2 linked regions of the Danio rerio genome follow. The protein of the gene in region 2 purifies or fractionates together with the protein of the main gene of each other region. This does not show direct contact. Links are inferred from orthologs where the notes say so. Each region holds a gene or a part of one and is shown on either strand. Other genes may lie near its edges.

Evidence for each region. The genes of interacting proteins can lie anywhere in the genome.
Region 1: the proteins of supt5h (region 2) and nelfa purify together in Homo sapiens (affinity purification with mass spectrometry; 3 studies listed by BioGRID and IntAct, with this or other methods). This does not show direct contact. The link is inferred for Danio rerio from reciprocal best matches to the Homo sapiens genes SUPT5H and NELFA.

What each region holds. Positions count from the first base shown.
Region 1 is NC_133182.1:24,485,044-24,491,046, forward strand, and holds the end of nelfa (negative elongation factor A), read left to right. Parts: intron 1-1,071; coding exon 1,072-1,199; intron 1,200-1,403; coding exon 1,404-1,473; intron 1,474-1,841; coding exon 1,842-1,930; intron 1,931-2,010; coding exon 2,011-2,122; intron 2,123-2,665; coding exon 2,666-2,976; intron 2,977-4,482; coding exon 4,483-4,582; intron 4,583-4,677; coding exon 4,678-4,862; 3' UTR 4,863-5,446; downstream 5,447-6,003. UniProt on the Homo sapiens protein: Essential component of the NELF complex, a complex that negatively regulates the elongation of transcription by RNA polymerase II.
Region 2 is NC_133190.1:22,857,013-22,863,015, reverse strand, and holds part of supt5h (transcription elongation factor SPT5), read right to left. Parts: intron 5,475-6,003; coding exon 5,405-5,474; intron 5,325-5,404; coding exon 5,256-5,324; intron 4,676-5,255; coding exon 4,610-4,675; intron 4,522-4,609; coding exon 4,491-4,521; intron 4,388-4,490; coding exon 4,319-4,387; intron 3,928-4,318; coding exon 3,676-3,927; intron 3,518-3,675; coding exon 3,428-3,517; intron 2,255-3,427; coding exon 2,184-2,254; intron 2,078-2,183; coding exon 1,972-2,077; intron 1,890-1,971; coding exon 1,796-1,889; intron 336-1,795; coding exon 199-335; intron 37-198; coding exon 1-36. UniProt on the Homo sapiens protein: Component of the DRB sensitivity-inducing factor complex (DSIF complex), which regulates mRNA processing and transcription elongation by RNA polymerase II.

The DNA.
Region 1 (6,003 bases), on a different chromosome or scaffold from region 2:
AAAGTAATCAGATTACTAATTACTTTACTATGAAGTTACTTTTAAAACATAAAATATACCTATAAAAATACAAAATAAAGTTTTTTAATAGTCATTTAATAAAACATTCATTTAATAATCACTGAAAAACATTGCAATGCGTTGATCACAGCTGCTTGACATATTCAAAAGACTTAGAGTTCACCCAAAACTTAAAATTCTCTCATCATTCACTTGTTCCACTCCTGTATGCCTCTTTTTTTTAACACAAAAGACATTTAGAAGAAAACTGGATACCTGTAACCGTTGACATCCGTAGTATGAAAAAGCACTGCAGTGTTTTAGCTGTTGTGATTGTCTGAGGGAATTAGTCTACTGAAATGTGTATGTTCCATACAAAATATGAAGCTGACCGTTCAGTTCTTGTCACGTGACTTGCTGTTTTTAACTGGCAAAAGACGTGATATGTGAACAACCCGATAAGCAGCTACGCTTCACTTCACATTCAGAAGATACCTTTATTCCCGATCCTGCACAAAAATCTAATTTAGCCTGTTTAGACTGAGTTGGGCCGCCGAGTTTTTGGGCGAGTATTGTCAAAGAATGCAATATAATCTATTCAGGTACTTGAACAAGTTGCTGGTGGAGTTAAAAGCAGTCAAAAGAGACTGAATTTAGACTATTTCACAGCAATATATTTGTTTTTACACTCAATAAAATAAAAAAATGTCTATATTTCCACTTAAAGCAACTACTCTTGACAGCAATTTAAAAGCACATGCTTATTAACTGATGTTGCAGCAGAAAGTGTGATTTAAAAGAAGCACTTTTTTCCTTCTAAAAATTCTATTTGTAACGCAATTACATTGACTTTAGTAACTGTAATCATTACACAAATTTAAAATGTAATTCGTTACATCACTGCGTTCCTCAAATATAATTAGAATACAGTAACAGTTACTCCCAACTCTGATTGTAACTAACTTACTGTAAATTTAGCCTTTCTGAGTTTCTAACAGAAAAAATATCTTATTACCCAAACCTTTTATCTTAATACGTAATAGTAAAAATGAATTTCATTACTTCTTTCAGCGCCGCTGAAGGGAATTCCCAAAGCACCATTCCGCAGCCCCACCACCCCAAGCATGTTCAGCCCTCCCAGTAACAGAACCCCCATCGCCCCTGCCCGCACACCCCTACGTAAGGAGAGAGGTGTCAAGGTAACTGTCCTCCAATCACCTTTTATAAAGTCACTGAACAACGTTAATAAATCTCAGTAGCTTTTACTCTCTATTAAATGCTTAAAAGCAAACTTTGTGTGTGACATTTGGTTTTACAAACTGAATTTGGTTTCTGAGTAGGGATGGTATGTTTTTATATGCTTTATACTGTTAGCTCATGTGATTGTATTCTTCTTTCTGCAGTTGTTGGATATATCAGAGTTGGATATGGTAGGAGCTGGTAGAGAAGCTAAGAGGAGAAGAAAGACTCTGGGTAAGTTCAAGAAGATTTAATGACATGAGATCTTTTCGCACTGTTTAACATCAGCTTATCATCATTCTCAATGGTGCTTTTAAAACACCACGTTTGTTTACAAGCTTAATTTACAAGCTTTGGATATTATATCAAAAACAATCAGGCATTGTCAAAAATGTATAATGTGTAAACCGGTTGTGTGTTACATTTGTCCAGTCAGTGATGCCGACACTGCAAATATGCAAATAGTGACATTAACCCATGGTTCAGGATTATACAGTATTGTTTGCTTATAAATACTCAAAAAATGTTTTGGTGGAATTTTTACTCTATATCACTACTAATTAATTGTGTTTTTGTGAATATAATTTATGTGTGTTCTTCAGACACAGAAGCTGGAGAAAAGGCAGCCAAAGAAGAGGCGGTGGTGGAAAACGCCACACCAGACTACGCAGCTGGCCTGGTTTCCACACAGGTAGCTTTTGAAATCAGCCATAAGAGTGACACTTTGAAAGCTGATCAGACCAGAACTCTAATTTCACCTCATTTCAACAGAAACTTGGGGCGCTAAACAATGAGAGTGCCCTGCCATCAACCAGTTACCTTCCCGCCACTCCCAGCATGGTTCCTTCATCGTCTTATATTCCCAGCTCAGAGACGCAGCCAGGTGAGCCACTGAGAGATGCAGGTGTGAGGGTTGCAAGAATAAATTTAAACAGTACAGTTAGATACAACAGCTAATCAGATGTTTAAGGTCATAGATGTTTGACAATCTCAACCGAAATATAATGAGAGGGTAGGACATAATGTAACCCCTCTCCTTTTTATAAAACAGCCAATAGTTTGTCACAGCTCTGCCAGTGAGAGTACTTGAGCCCAAGTGCATTAAACATGAAGCGTCTTGAAGGGGTCGAGGGCATGTCAGATACTAGAGAGCATTTGATTGGTCACTATTTGATGAGAAACTGAAGTATGAGGTCATGTGAAAAAAAACTGTTCATCTATTTAGAAGGAAGTGATAAACTACAATCTGTTTATCTTCTAACCGCAAATTTTGTCACTGGAGAACACTAGCTTATAGATATCCTTAAAACTAACAATACTTATACTAACATGTAAAAAAATATTTTTTAATTTCAATTCTTTAATAAAAAGCCAGTTTACAGTCTCATTAACAATCTTTTTTCTGTCTTTGCTTTGGAATAACCAGCGAACGCAGGTGGTTCAGGACGTGAAACTACAAACCGACAGTCGGAGGAGTCGGCTGCCCCAAGTGCCGCTGCCGCTTCACTACCTGGCCAGTTCAAACAGCGGCCGCCTATGTATAATGCCAGCACTGCCAGTCCCACCGCGCCCACTTCACCCACCACGCCAACCAGCACGCCCACAAACAATGGCCCGCCCCCTGCCGCCACAGCAGCACAGCCGGACATGCCCACACAGCCGCCCACCACTGCAGCTCAGCCTGCACCCACGCCAGCACCCCCACAGACACAACCCAAAAAGAACCTCTCGCTCACGGTAACTGATTTCAGTTATATGATGATAATGCTTTACTGGACTGTCCTGCTTTTGATCATACCAGATAGGGTTTTTTTTTGTTTGTTTTTAAATGAGTAAAATAGTATAAATTCTATCAATTATAAACCTTTTTCTTAAAACGCAAAATTACCCATTATGCTTTGCATGTATGCGTAAGGAGGATGCTAATAACTTCCAGTCGGCAGCTTGATGCGTATAAACGGTCACATTCAGACAGCTTAAAAATTATAGTTTTAATCCATTTTACTTGCTTTTAGCATCTTTGAACTAATACTGCTGTTGACAAAAAAATACTGCCTCCTGGACTGAAAAATGCGATCTAATGGGATGGAAAAACAACATTTTGTGAGTCGTTTACCATTTCCGTCAGGCGGCATCTTGAGCATTTAAAAGAGCATCGTCATTGCTAAAGTAAACATTTTCTCTTTTCAAATGTATAACCAAGCCAAACAAACGCAGTTCACTAAAATGTTTGACACACACTTTGTTCTGTTCCACTAACACACAGGTGTCAAACTCAGTCCCAAAAGGGCCACAGCTCTGCACAGTTTAGTTTCAACCCTAATTAAACACACCTGATCAAACTAATTGAGTCCTTCAGGCTTGTTTGAAACCTACAGGTAAGCGTGTTGGAGCAGGGTTGGAACTAAAATGTGCAGGGCTTTGGCCCTCCAGGAATTGAGTTTGACACCCCTGCACTAACACATTGATTTAACAAGTGGCACAAAGTTAAAACAAAGTGATGTTTGAAATGACAGAAAAACATACCATGGTAAATATTACACTACACAAACTACCAAAATGAAACATAAACAGCTCCCGATTATAATCAACATGCAAATCAGCCAGCAGAGTATCAGTCATGTACTTTTATTTTTTGGAAATTGCTTAGCTGAAGGTTACCTACCTGTTGCATTTCATGCCAGTAATATGTTTTGCTCTATAATGCACCGCAACTGACAGCACCATAATGGCTTAAACAGGCCAAAATCGAAGTTCTGAATCACAAAAACACTCCGTAAGCCACTCAAAACGGTATTGACAATCATTTTTGGATCAAGATTTTCCAATTGTAAACGCTGTAAAAGGAAATTCTAAGCACCCTACTGGAAGATGCTGGTTGATATGGCGCATGTTCCATGTAGCAAGAGAAAAAGGTCTATAATACCTAAAGATTTAAATATTTATTGTAATGTTTAATATACATTGTTTATGGTCACCATGGCTGCATTTATTTAGCCAAACATTTAAAAAAAAAAGAGTGATGTCTCGTGTTGACTGTTTACATTTCAGGAGCCACTACTTGGTATTCATTGTCACATGGTCATTCAAGTGTCATTTTAATGTGTTACCACAATGTGCAGTTTAATAGAAGCATGAATGTTTTAACTTCTTTAAAAATGAACTTTATTTCCCTCAAATCATTTGAATGGTAGTGTATGGTGACAATCTGTAAACTCTTATGCTGCATTGTTTTGCCCACAGAGGGAACAGATGTATGCTGCACAAGAAATGTTCAAGACTGCAAACAAAGTCACACGGCCCGAAAAAGCCCTCATTCTGGGCTTCATGGCTGGATCACGAGGTATTTTGGTTGTGATTTCGTCCAGTTTTGTGAATGAGTTGACAACCCTATGGTTCCTCTTTTTTTAATTGTCATATTTCTCATCGTCTCTACAGAAAACCCCTGTCCAGAGCAGGGTGACATCATTCAGATCAAGCTGAGCGAGCACACAGAAGTTCTGCCTAAAGCGGACGGGACCGGCAGCACGACCATGCTGGTGGACACAGTGTTTGAGATGAACTACTCTACTGGGCAATGGACCCGCCTCAAGAAATACAAACCCATTACCAACGTCTCCTGAGGAAGTCTGGGTTAACCAGTACACATACACACACACTCGCTCAGCGCAATTACATGGATGCATATGTATGCATTCACACCCCTCTTCAACATCACCTGAGGAAGTGCTGATAAACACAATCATGTACATGCGCTGGAATGTACATATTTATGGGCCAAATTCTGAGGTATTGGGAATATGCGCTAGTGAATCTCTGGATGTTGGGTTTCAGACAGTTGGGAAAAAAGACTTCCTGTTTGGTTGACCTCATGTCCTATCTCTGTTCCTGCGTTGCCAAAGACAGGGACCCTCTTGTAAGACAGATGTTTTCTTTATCTTTTTGTTAATGTTTGTATCGTTTCTTCTTTTTAGGCCCATTTCAGATTTCATGAGGTGGGGCTTGTTAGTTTGTCTTAACCTACTATTGATTGACACGTTATTAAGAGATCTTAAAAGGGTACAAACATGCTATTACGGTGTCCCACGAATGAAACGAGAATCTGTTCCTGTGTTTTCAAAATCAGAATGTTTAAAAATGTTTTCAAGTTCCTCCTCAGAAGGGAAGAAAAAAAAAATGAAAACAATAAACAGTGTAAAACAAAGTTATGTAAACATTTTTTTTTTAAAAGAGAGAAAAAATGAAAACATCCTGATTTGAATAAGTCATTTGCTTAAGACTTAGTTCACATATTACTGGTTAATTCATTGAACAACCATTTTAATGATCATTTTCAATGCGGGAATAACTTCAAAATAGGGCTGTGTGATTTGGGAACAATATCTAATTGCAATATTTTTGACAGATATTGTGATTGCGATTTGATTTATAATTTAATTCAAGCTTCTGCTTGATGATCTGTAAGCCGTGACAACAATTCTGCAACAGCTCTTCAAAATGATCTGTTTATGTTTGAAATCAAAGTTTCACAATGCTGTTTTTCTTTGATATTAATTTGTCTATTAATGCTTCTTGAAGCAGCAGATGCCATTATCCCACTTTTCAGCGCTTTCCTGTACGTTTTTTTTTTTTTTTTTTTTTTTTTTTTTTTTTGTGGGTGTAGTTCATTTGCGCAATTCTGATTGGCCAGAACGAATGTGTGCTCGTTTATTTGGCTAGTTATAAAGTCCCGGTCAGATCACACGATTTCAGCAAAATTTCTTT
Region 2 (6,003 bases):
CTTCCGCAACTCATGAGCTGGAAACTCAAGAGGATCCTAAAAGAAGTCAGGACAGTAAGTAGATAATCAGTGTAAAAAGGATTCATTATGCAGAATGAGATTTTCAGGATGTTTAAACACATTTCACGGTAGGTTAATAGGATCAGGTGAACATGATTGACTTTTCATTCACACTGCAGCTTGTGCCGATTTCTTCACCTTGAGGTCCTCGTGCTTGGGCATGATGGTGATTTTGTTGCCATCCACACTCAAGATTTTGCCCTGAAGGTTGATCAACTCCCCTTCACACACCTCCACATTATCTCCCGCCTGGAGATTGTGTTCTCGCTCCTTACCTGCCAAAAAAAAAAAAAGAAAGATAGCTGTTTAATTCACAAAGATTGCTCAATAAATAGTTGGATGGTGTTCAAATTTCAAATAATCCTGGGAAGATTGTATTTATGAGTTAATTGTGACATCTGATGTTTTCAAGCAGTAAAGTACCTTCTCTAAAAAATGTCTTAGTAGTTTTACTAAAAATACAAAATGTTCCTTTTTATGTTTATAAAATATTTAAGGTGATGTTATTTGTTATGTTTTATGACCTGCGCATGTGTAAGGAGAATGTGTGTGCTAGTGTGGGCTTTTTGAGGGTATATAAAGACCCCTGTCTGTTATTGCGGGAGTTACAAATAGAAGAAATAAAGAGTGTTAAAAATAGGAAGAACTGTTGTGGTGATTTGATATTAAAAATTTAACGTTTATATTTGCAATCATTACTGTACACAATTTTATAGATGCCACATATAGGGTTGTAGTGTAAAAGACCAACTACATTATAATTTACTGTCAAAACAGACACTGCATCCATTGCACTGGACATGTATTCTCACAGACACACCATCATTCATGTACTTTCAACACATAAATATTTATATGACTTGAATGTAGCATTAAACATTCTGTGTGGGTGTTGTTTCTAGGGTATAAATGTAAATATATTTGCAGGGTTTCTGCAGGTTTCAGTCTTAAATTAAGACATTTTTAAGACCATTATGAATGAAATTTCAGACTTATACAGGACTTTTTTATATTATATTATAATTAGTTATTTCTTAGCCACCTATTTGAATAAACTGTCAAAACAAGCAAACCCTATACATATTTTTAAACACAACCCATCTTAAAAAGAAATTTAAAAAATCTTAAAAATGCAAGCACAACCAGTCTGTCCAGGTTAGTGTCCACACCATATATGGACTTTAAATACAGAGAACTTTAAAACAAATATTACTGTAAATGACGATAATTAAATCATATACTGTAGGTAAATAAAGACAGATTTACAAAAAAAGTTTAAAAGTTCTATTGACATTTTCTATTGAGTTATATTGACATAGTTCTATTGATAATTTTGGTAACTGGATGCGTGTTGGCCCGATTGGGTAGCTTGACGTGGACAGGAAAATTAAGACTCATTTAAAATTAATTAAGACAGAATTTGAGACTTTTTGTGCCCTAAATTTTTTTGTTTTTGAAATGTAAGACATTTTATAACTTTTTAAGACCCCGCGAATACCCTGATTTGGAAAAAGGTATTTTGGATACAACAGCACTAAAAACTACAGATTATATTGAAGAGTGTTTTACTGGCAAGTTTTTTTACTGGCAAGTACAAACCATAGTTTGTACAGTAAATAAATTAAATCTAATTAATAATTTAAAAATTATATTTGCTAGCCTACTAAGAAAGCTGTATATTTAAATACTGTATGTCACATGTAATTGTTTTTTTTTTATATATAGATGTCTTCACCTGTTGTCTCTGTGACTACTTCAAGGTCAATGCCCTCTGGCTGGTCTTCAAACTTCTCCAGCTCGGACAGAGTGGGCTTCACCCCTTCTGTGATCTATGCAAACAAACAGGAGTTGAAAAAGTGAACCAATAAGGAGCAATAAGATAGAACTAGAAAGCGCTCCCAGGGCTCTTACCACAGCAGACATGGCAAAGCTTTTGAACAGGAAACCCTTTCTGCTGTAGCGGTTCGCTTCAAATATCATGAAATCACCATCATGGCTGACCTCACCACCAAGAGACCTGTGGGAAATAAAATAAAATAAAAATAAAAAAAGAGAGATGCATGTGTGTCAGTACACATAATGCATTTAAGCGGGTTTGATTATGAGGCTTACAATCACATCACCTGATCTTTTCAGCATCAAAAAGCCTCTGTGGGGGCCTCTTGAACTTCTTTCTCTTTGCAAACCAGTCTTTCTGTAAGATGAACAATAAAGCTGGAGTCAGATCACTAAAAGATTAATATAGAAGATGTAAATAAAAGATGTATATAGACTATCTTTTTAAGGTGAATTTATTTGGTTACAAATGCACTATAACCGTATAAACTATATTATTGTAAAAGCAGTTCATTTTAATATATTTTACCATGTAATTTATTACTCAAATAACAAAGCTGAATTTTCAGGATCATTAAGGCTGGTTTACACTCAATATAACATCTGTAATTCACTAGGGTATGGGCGGCAAATGTGATATCATCGTGGTGTTTGCAGATGTTCACTTTGGGTGCGCTCTGCATAATTATAGCTGACAGAGTGAAACACCTTTTTTGTAACTTGTAATCTGAAGATGCCGGACTTGGAGCCAAGTCTGGCCAATCTAGGTGAATGTGCATGTGTAACACTTTTAGAAAACCAAAAATCACTGTCTGATGTGTAAGCTTAGAGTTAAACCAATGCATATATTTTGTGCACTGGTTGTCAATAGCTTATTATTTTTTACCACATAAAGGATTTGCCTTAAGTATGCAGTCAGCTTGTCTATATATGCAGCTCAAGTTACTCACTTCCTCATCTGTACTAAAAGCAAACATTTTCCAAGAGTCCACCAAAATTATCCACAACTGATTAGTTTCATATATAGTTAAATTAATTCATTTTGCAACTCCACTCACTGACTTCTTCTTTACTACTGTTTCATCAGGACAGATACTACAAGTCACCCCCTATTGTTGCAAATATTAGTACAACAGCTAACACATCAAGCATAAAAGCCTTCACAACTTGCAGCTGTGAGCAAGTAGGTATGGCTGCAGCCTAGAGAGACCTCTAAGTGGAGGGGACTTATGCCACTAGTAAAATCAATGAAAACTCCAGAAGGTTTGTACAGCATTACTGGAGCTCAAGTCCCACCCACTTGGAGCTGGCTCTGACCTCCATTGTATACCCTTCTTGCTGTGCACTCGCATTTAGTTGAGGCTCACACTGCAGATCCAGGTGAAAGTGTAAATCAGCCTATAAATCTCCTATCTTCAGTGATCCTTAAGAAATCATTCTAATATGCTGATTTGACATGAGGTAAGATTTTTGACCTTTTTTAAAATATTAAGATATATTGTGCTGTTTTTGTAAAAATTGAGAACCTTACCATACTCATCCTTGCTTTGATACGATCCAGGTCAATACGAGGAATCATTTTCAACGAAATCGTGTTCTGACTAGGTTCAACATAGTCCACCTGAAAAAGATAAATAAAAAAACACAGATCAAAGGTTTATCACAGACATAAGCAGAGCTGTATGACTAACAAACCTAATAATTATTTCCAGAACACATTACAGTATCAACAACAGGGACTCCTTTTCAGATACATAATCTATATGTCCAAGTACTCACCTGGGCAATGTCATCTTTATAAAGGCCTCTCTTGAGACGAACCCAAGACTTGGGTTTAAGGTTAGTAACTTCCTTAACCACTTTCAGCACATCTGTCATCTCTTTAATGGGCACCATCTGCTGGTTCCAGAAGCCCATGCGCAGGTTTCCCACACCCTCAATGGCAGCCTTGACATGGGTCTGCTTGTACGCCTCCACATAGATATAACCTTTGACATGTTCAGGGGCAACTACTGATTTGATTTGAAGTGGCTGTACAAAGAAACAAAGCACAAAGTTAATACAAATATGTGTATGCTAAATATCCTCTCCACTCTGTAGCATTTCTTTAATATCTATCGTAGGCATGGGTCGGTATAAGATTGTAAGGAGTAGATTTTTACTACTAAAATTCCATGACTTTTCCAAGACTTTCAAGTACATTTTCATGATGTAATGTTTCATGTATGAGGCCCCAGTTAAATACACAAAATGGGGAGTTAATCTCCTATCTTTATTAAGCTCGGATGAAGATTGTACAGTTTGTGTCTTATATACCAATGGCTGAGATTGTGTGAATCGGATATTCACCAACCATGGCACTTACACTTTCTTGACAAACTAAATGGGTCTAAAGAAGAGAGAGAAACTATGGAAAACATACCGTGTCAGTGCACTGATAAGCAACGAATTTTCGCATCAAGGAAATTGCAGTTGCTCTCTCCTCTCCAATCTGCAAATAAAGACAAAAAACAGATTAATTAAACCTTGCACATACTGTAACCTCATTAAGTCACCCATTAACCCCATTAATCATAAGCATATCCAGTACTAACCTTACACTTAACAGTCCACAAATTAGGATCCCTGAATAAAACCGGGGGAAAAAACTATTGAACACAAGTCCACTTAATTCAGCATGTCTAATGATCAATAAATAAGATTTTCTTCATACTTGACCCCAGGAAGCAATTGTTGCTGTGTGATGTCATCAGAAAGATCCTCAGAGCCACCATAGAAGCTGAGAGAAAAGACAGAGCAAAAAGATTTAGTAATCAGCACCAGAATAGTGGCTGAAGGTCTGGACACTTTGTCTGCTTTGAATGGTCAAGGACTTTACTTTATGCTTTTTGACTGACAGGTTGACCAACCAATCACATTTTGTTTAAGTGTGTGGAAACAGCCCAGCCATCACACAATCACACATCATTCATTCACAAACATCTTTGAAACTTTTACAACATCATCAATATCTTTAATGATCTGTCAGCAATACAGGTATGTAATAGTAATGCATGAATGTAGTATGTAGGCTTCGTTCAGAGATTTATTCATTACTTTGATGATGCATTTCTACATAAATGTCATTTAGACTGAGATGACTGGAAGTGAAAGTTTTTTTTTGTTCTAGAAAAGCGAATTTCTTTGCTGTATTTGTAATAATCCACGTTTCATGGGCGGAGCTTGGCTTGACATTTGAAGCTAATACTACCAGCAGAGAGGCCAACGCAGTAAACCAGCATTCCTTTAATTCCAACACATGCGATTGCCAACTTTCATGACAGATGACAGATGGTAGATTTGAGAGCAGTTGAACTTACTGTTCGCCTCCTGAAGACTTGGCATATTTCCTCATGTAATACTCCCCCAGAGCTTCCTCACGAGAATCTCTAAAAAGATAAAAAACAGGTAACTAAAATGACGTTATTTTCAGGAATGTGAAAGTGTGTGATTAGTGCAGTACTCGCACCTCCAGAGATTCTGCAACCTCCTTGAACCCGAGTGATCCTCATCCAGAACTACATGGTCAAGGTTGGACACTAAAATAAGAAAACAGAATAAACAATTACTATATGGCAAGAAGAACAAGAAGTTATATTGCAACTAGACAAAAAAAGTCCATAATAATAATAAATAATAATAGCTGTATTTATATCCAGTGCAATAATCTGTTAATAATTTAACTAATGAGGTAGTGCCACACACTAAATCTGCATGTGCAAAATTTTTTAGCACATCGAGTCTATTTATTTACTTATGTAAATATGCGTAAACTTATATTTATTCAGTTTTATTTTTATTTGATATTTTATATGAGAAACTTGCTTTGTTTACCAAATAAGTGGGTCTAATTGGAATTGCATTGTAAATTAAATAATAGATTAAAATGTGTTATGTTTCTCCCAAAATTATCCTACATTAATCCGTTTTTTTTATTTAATTTTTTAACAAAATTTTGTGCAGAAATAGTAAAAAACATATGCACATTCTGTTTGGCCCTATAAAAGACTCAAGCTAAATGATAAACATAATTCAAATAAAATTTCTGTAGAACTGTGAAATGTTACG